Arabidopsis thaliana: one gene and its partner. The protein of the gene in region 1 interacts with the protein of each later gene in a pairwise test. Each region holds a gene or a part of one and is shown on either strand. Other genes may lie near its edges. The genes, in order: GDU5 and LUL1.

Evidence for each region.
Region 2: the proteins of GDU5 (region 1) and LUL1 interact in a two-hybrid assay, tested with the Arabidopsis thaliana proteins (one study listed by BioGRID).

The regions. Positions count from the first base shown.
Region 1 is NC_003076.8:8,582,217-8,585,809, forward strand, and holds GDU5 (glutamine dumper 5), read left to right. Parts: upstream 1-2,318; 5' UTR 2,319-2,448; coding exon 2,449-2,844; 3' UTR 2,845-3,081; downstream 3,082-3,593. UniProt on the Arabidopsis thaliana protein: Probable subunit of an amino acid transporter involved in the regulation of the amino acid metabolism. Stimulates amino acid export by activating nonselective amino acid facilitators.
Region 2 is NC_003076.8:759,785-763,686, reverse strand, and holds LUL1 (RING/U-box superfamily protein), read left to right. Parts: upstream 1-1,846; 5' UTR 1,847-2,019; coding exon 2,020-2,462; intron 2,463-2,579; coding exon 2,580-3,045; intron 3,046-3,132; coding exon 3,133-3,237; 3' UTR 3,238-3,368; downstream 3,369-3,902. Other genes in the region: DIP2 (E3 ubiquitin-protein ligase), read left to right, coding at 348-617; AT5G03204 (uncharacterized protein), read left to right, coding at 1,290-1,400; CPUORF47 (peptide upstream protein), read right to left, coding at 3,539-3,902. UniProt on the Arabidopsis thaliana protein: Acts as an E3 ubiquitin-protein ligase, or as part of E3 complex, which accepts ubiquitin from specific E2 ubiquitin-conjugating enzymes and then transfers it to substrates (in vitro).

The DNA of each region.
Region 1 (3,593 bases):
GTTTTTTCAATCGGTCCATTTTATTCTTTAGCTTAGGGCCTTTTAAAACTCAAGGCCAGCTTGACTTGATCGCATAGTGTTGTAGTATGCATTGATGGACCTATGTTATACATTTTTGTGTGTATGTCAATGTCATAGATATGCATGAATATCTTTAAATGGGTCCAAGGTTTTGAAAGTGCATGTTTACTTTACTTGCCTAATAATAATATCAAGGGAGAAATATCCACAAGTTGACAATGCATAAATTTATATTTTTGATAAAGAACAACCCATAATTCTCTTTTCAAGTTGTCATGTCTCCTCCAACTCCATCAATATATTCTCATAATCTCATTCATGTATTGTCACACAACTCAAATAATGCTTTAATGTACTCAGCTTAAAAATTAAAACTTACCTTTCCTCCATCAGTTGAAGTTTTCGATCGTTAACAAGTACTCACGACTAATATTTATTGATTTGTGAGTTGTATCTAAAATTATGTATGTCAGTATGTGGCTATATTAATATAAAAAGATCAAATTTAAGTTTCAATTGAAATTATATTTAAAATCAACATGAAAGCTTTACCAAAAAAAAAACCTCATCAGAAAGGAGATGTACGTATGAAAAACAGAGTTCAATATAATCAGAATTCTTTCGATAATTTATGAAGTAAACTCTCAAATTTCGGATATTACAACACATATGAATAAAAACATTACTCATAACTCATAAGTGAGTAAGAAAAATAACATAATCCAAGAATAAGAGCTAATCCATCTTATGGTTCACTAGACATAGTTTATTCATTTAGAGATTGTAGATATATGGTTTATATTAATGTTCAAATATTAATCTAACAATTTTGGCAATCGACATGATTAAAAAATGAAATATATTCTCTTCCAACTATGGATACAAATAAAATCTATGGATTGTTGTTGTGGAATATTAAAAAGTAAACCCATATATAATTTACTGTTAACGGCAAACATCATTATCCAAATAGCACCATCGAAAAGACACATATCCCTGGCTTAGCGTAATAACAAATGGCCATGTGAAATTCATGGGCCCGAATAAAACACAAAGCTGGGCCCTCTTAATATTCCTAAATCCAAATAATCATATAATTATGTTTTCTGTTTGTCTCTCCCAAATATGATGTCGATAAAATTATAAGGGTTCGAATAGTTGCGCCAGTTAGGACGAACCAATTCATTTCCAATTCATTTCCGGTTTATACTACTTTTCTTTAGTATTTATGAACTATAATTTGTTGTCGTGTAAAAAATAGAACAAGTATGCGGCAAACTAACTATAGATTGTTTTTACGTAGAAAAAAAGCTTGATTTACATCAGTTTATTGTCCGTTCCAAAAATAGAAAACATTTCTCTGCTTTTTTTTATTGCAATCATTCAAAACCTAAATTTATAATCATTTATAACACCAAGAACATATATAAATCATCTTCACTCATAAAACATAAACAAACTACTCTACTTACAATATGCATAACCTCCACTAAATATATATGCATCCACAATTTACAAAATCATCATGTGGAAATTATCTCATACTTTAGTGTAATGGTTTTAACTGTTATATCACTTATAAGAAATCAGCTTAAAATTACTCGTATATGGGGCTTGTAGACTACCTTAAACTCCAAAAAACTAGATTTTGAAGCTCTAAATTGATCAATTAAGATGTATAGTTGGCCACTCTTTCAGCTGATCGATCATGTATATATGAAACAAATCTACAACGAATAAGTAAAACAATATTGCTTGTTTTTCAAGACGCAATGGAATTCAAGAGATCAGTCAATTCTACTAATAAATAATTTTCTAAATAAACATGATAATTTATCTATTTTTGTAGTTGTCTTTTGTCAACAAATGTCATCTTCATAAATGATTTCTTTATCCAAAAAATCACAAATTCATTGCCATAAATAACATGGTAAGATCACATATTAAGTTGAACAAAAAAGGGATCACATTTTCAAATATCTACCTCATATTTTTTTTTGTTATAATTTCTGACACGAGGAGATTATGGAACTGTCTTTAACAAATAAAAAAAGGGATTACGGAATTGAGATCTTAAAGTTTGATTATCCAAAAAGGATTTTATAAACAAAAAAATCAAGGTATATATCTAAATGCAAAAACGTATGATTAAATATCTTCGAACCTGGTGCATGATCAAAGCAACGTAACGTATCATGAAGATTCCGTGACCCACTTACCTTCAATTTTGTTTTATAATAATATTGTGAAATATTTATTACATCTCTTCCCTCTATTGTTCTCTTCCAGTACTATAAATAAAATGTCAAACCACTCCAACAAAATCAAACTAGCTACACAGTTATAAAAAAAAAGTATAAGCTTCACAATTTTCAAGCTTCTTCTCCTCTGTTCTTTAACAAATCCAAGAATAAGAAATATAAAACAATGAGGCAATTTCCAAGCATAAGAGGAAACATAAATGAGAAGATGATGACAACAATGGTGGAGTCTCAGACACGGTCTCCGTGGCGTACACCGGTTCCTTACCTATTCGGTGGTTTAGCCGCCATGCTTGGACTCATAGCCTTTGCTCTCTTGTTGCTCGCCTGCTCCTACTGGAGGCTCTCGCGGCAGACAGAAGATGAAGAGAAACAGACGGAGTCCGGTGAGAAAGTGGTGGCTAAGGCTTTTGAGGAGAAGATTCTTGTGATCATGGCTGGACAAAACAACCCTACCTTCTTAGCCACTCCGGTCGCGGCCAAGATTTGCCTGGATTGTGTTAATATGGAGAAGAAAGAAGGACAAAATGGGGAATCTAAAGTAACAGAAGAAAACCACTGACTACTGAGCTCTGTTCTCAAGAGTGTACTTTTTTGGATTCTCTGTTTTTGTCGGTTTGTTTTTTGTTTGTTGGGGAAGTAGTTTTCCTCTGTTTTTGTCGACCTTGAGATTGTAAATTTTCATTAGAGTAGTAAATGTGAACAAAAAAGTTGAGAAATTTCGGGTTTCTATGTATAAATGTTGGTATATGAATATATTTTGCTAAATTAAAGGTATCAATGTGTCATTGTTTTGATCATTAATATTTCCAAATTAGTTTTGAGAGTATATCTATATCCTGCTATAGCTTAAAGATTTACTTGTAAAACTAAGAAGTTTAGCTACATTTTCATGGCCGAGTGGTTAGCACTCTAAGTTAGAGGAGCATATATTTGGCCAAGACCAGGGGAGTGATTTCCGTTCTGAACGTGTGAGCCATCACTGTGTCTACGTGACTACTGAAGACATCTTTACTGGTCAAAACACTTGATTTTTATTGGGTCCAAAATAAATCAAAATGACCCAAGTTAGCAAACAAAAAAAACAAAAAAAAATATTGTGTGATGGGAAATATGTAAACAAATGGAAGTTGATTTTTAGTTTATTTTGTAAAAGTTACATAATTTTAGTCATTTTTTATAAAATTAGAATGTTATTTTATCGGAGAGCTTTTTTTCCGAAAAGTTTTCTCTCTATACCAGCTCTTTTTCTCCTGGTCATTTTTTTCGACAAAATTGTGGCTCCGACTAACGTTCGTGGACTTCCAAAGC
Region 2 (3,902 bases), 7.8 Mb from region 1:
CCCACACAATTGCTGAGAAACTTCAAACCCTAAGTGTGTGTCTAGTATTTTGCAATATACGACGCATAAAGAAATATCCTAACATTGACAACAACAAAAAAAAATCTTAGCGGAGATATAGACGTGTGAGACAAGAGCTCACACGTGTTGCACATTCGAGACTTGTTGATAATGACGACAACAAGAGGTTCTAGAATATTCGTGTTGGTTTCATTATTATTAGCAAATAAGACCAAGTCAACAAACTAACTTAAACATTGTGGATCGTCCACTTGTCCGACTCTTACGTCAAACCCATCATTGTTCCACATATCTCCACGCGTCAATCTCTCTATAAATACGAACAAATGAACACGTATCAATTCAACTCAAAAAGTAACAATTTGAATTACTTCCGCAAATCTAAAATAATATCTAGTGAAGCGAATATGTGTTTCTTTGATAATCGGTGCGATCAGAATCTGACGGTGGTGGTGGATGTGGCGTGGTGGATGGAGGCTGTTCCTCCACAAATCATTTCTCCGGCGAAGCCATCGGTTTCTCCGATTCTTGAGACGATTTTAGAAGGCGGAGAGACCGAAGAAGACAATCAAGAACAAGAAAACGAGGACGTGTAAATTGTAATGATCATTTTGTTACTCGGTCTTGGGTTTAAGATAGACTCTTGTTGTTGTTGTTGTTTTTTCTATAACTGTATAAGATGAGATTTTGTATTGTATCTTTTGTACAATCAAATCTCAGTTCTTTGTGAAATTTTCATTCAACTTTCACATCTTGTACGCTCGGTGATCTGTTGTTATATGCTCACGAGTTGGTAATTAAAGACAAATCTTAATATACTTTCTAACCGAACCGGGACGATAACCGGTCCACGACAAAAAATCAGTATCTTCAAATATCAAACCAAACTTAAACCTGAAACCAGTCTCACCGCTATTTCTGTTTGGTGCGATCATTTTCTCAACCAAAAGAATCTAATTTACATTAATTTTTAATAAAGACATGTATGATTTATCTGCAAACTAAAGCAGTGTACGCATACTTATGTTTCAACTTTCGAGCATCACCTAAATATGAAACATAAATATCACGTGCGATAAGTATTAAGCTGCGTCCTATAAAAAAGTATACAAATATATAAAGATCACTTGATGATTAGTTAATTACACTACTACTATTCCTCTCTATCTCTATAAATATCAGCAATAACAATAATTTCCACATAGATCTTCTCAACACAGTCGAAAGCTGCCGAAGTCTAAATCGAAGAAAGAGTATATTTACAAATCATGGCTAGGATGATCGGACCATTCGAAACTGTACCGGCGATTCTTGTTTATCCGATGAGGGTTTCAGCTTCGCCTTCGCTGGGGACAATTTATGAGGAACACGATGAGTAAAATTTTAACAAGACAAGATCAAAACTCGAGTGTTTAATTATTTTTTAATCCATTTTAATGAAATATTCATTTTGAAATATATCTTGATAGTGCTTTCTATTTCTTGGTTGATTTCCACTTTAAACTCTTTTTTATCGACGTTATTATGATCTCCTATATAATCAGACATAAGAGAAGATGTTTCTTAATGACGATCAGTGCAAGATGTTTCTTAATGACGAGCAGTGCTTCTTGTAATCGCCGGTATTAATGGATGTGTTTCTTTGTTTTCCGATCAACCTCCAAAACCAATCTCGTGTCTCCGGTTTTGTCATTTCGTTTCTTCTTATTTTGTAACCGTGATATTGTTGTGAGGCCTTGGGCCTATTGCCTGCCTAGTGCTACTGATAATGATTTCTTTGTTTTATGTGATTAAAAGTAATAATCAATTTCCCATGGTAATTAATCAAGTTTAATACTAATTTATAATATATACAAATAAACGTTTTGGTGTTTCTTCGTCGACGTCGCTATCTCCAATCTCATTACTCCCCTTTCTCAATGATCATAAAACCTACTTCGATTCTACTCCTTATCAACTGAATCACCGAAAAACCTCACCTTTTTTCTTTTTCCGATCATGGGGAATCTGATCAGTTTGATCTTCTGCTGCGGGAGAAGGCAGAGGAGCAATATTCCTCCGGCGATGGAAACGGCTCCTCTTGAACTCCCACCGAACAGATTTGTATTCGCCGCCGTGCCACCATATCTGAACCCTAACCCTAACTACGTTGACCAGTATCCAGGTAACTGCCTTCCTCCGCCAGTAACTGAGCCGCCGATGCTACCGTACAATTTCAACCATTTGCATCACTATCCTCCCAACAGTTACCAACTACCTCATCCTTTGTTTCACGGCGGTAGATACCCTATACTGCCGCCTCCTACGTACGTCCACCAGAAAGCCGTCACGATTCGTAACGATGTTAATCTGAAGAAGAAGACTTTAACGCTCATACCCGACCCGGAGAATCCGAATCGACTTCTTGTCTCCTTCACATTTGATGCATCCATGCCCGGAAGGTTTTACTTTCAAACTATGAAATGATCAAATTTAGTTAAAAGTTTGAATCTTGTTTGAATCAATCAATGGAGTAATATAAATGACTTAGCTTTTGTTGTTTTGGTTGGCGAGAACAGGATCACAGTTGTTTTCTTTGCTACAGAAGATGCAGAATGTAATCTTAGAGCTACAAAGGAAGATACTTTGCCTCCAATCACTTTTGATTTCGGAGAAGGACTTGGTCAGAAGTTCATACAATCATCTGGAACGGGTATAGACTTGACGGCGTTTAAAGATTCCGAGCTATTCAAGGAGGTGGATACAGATGTCTTCCCGTTGGCGGTTAAGGCGGAGGCAACTCCAGCGGAAGAAGGAAAGTCTGGTTCCACCAATGTGCAGATTACTCAAGTGGTGTATACCAAGGAGAAAGGAGAGATTAAAATAGAAGTGGTGAAGCAGATACTATGGGTGAATAAGAGGAGGTATGAGCTGCTTGAGATTTATGGGATTGAGAACACGGTTGATGGTTCCGATGAGGGAAAGGAATGTGTTGTATGCTTGTCTGAACCACGCGATACAACTGTTCTTCCTTGCAGACACATGGTATAGTGTTCATCATACTTAAAATTAGCTCATATAAAAAAAAAATTGAACTTCTTTTGAAATGGTTTGTGTATTTCTGTTTGGCAGTGTATGTGTAGCGGGTGCGCAAAGGCGTTAAGGTTTCAGACAAATCTGTGCCCAGTTTGCAGACAACCTGTTGAGATGCTTTTGGAGATTAACAAGAACGGATGAAATGGAGATGGAGAATGAACAAATTTAGTTAAGCAATCGACTTGTGTAATATATGCCATGCTTAATTAAGACGTAAAACGTTATGGTTCAATATATTATAAGTGGAAACTGAGTTCTTAAATAGCAATGATAAACAGATAGGCAGCTTCTTATTTAGTTATAGGTGCTTGGCCAGGAGCTGTGGTGGCCGAGGACCAACTATGGCAAACACAGAAGGTGATGGCATTACAACTGAGACAAAGACAGACACGAATCGACGTAGATAAGACTAAGGCGAAGCGAGATTGAGTTTTACATTGGTTTAGTCTTCCCACCATTGATGAACAAACACACCTCTGGCTCTCAGAGTTTGAAGCATGTTGATGCAGTCTGACTTGTGGTTGGAACAGCGGAGGAAAAGCTCATCCACGTAGCATATGACTCCTGTTTCCAGTAAAACAGTTAGGAACTTCATTTCCACTTGGTTTGTGTTCATCTTAAGGACTACAAAGTCTGCGTATTTCGCAGTTTCCTCAAACCAAGCAAGGAAATCGAATCTCTCATCTTCTGGAAATGGTTCTAGCTGTTCAAGCGGAGTTATCTTTTTCCCTGTCGAGTTGTTCTCAGCCAAATCCGGATGGTAAACAAAGGTGACGCCGGGTTTCTTGACATAGGATAGCATTACT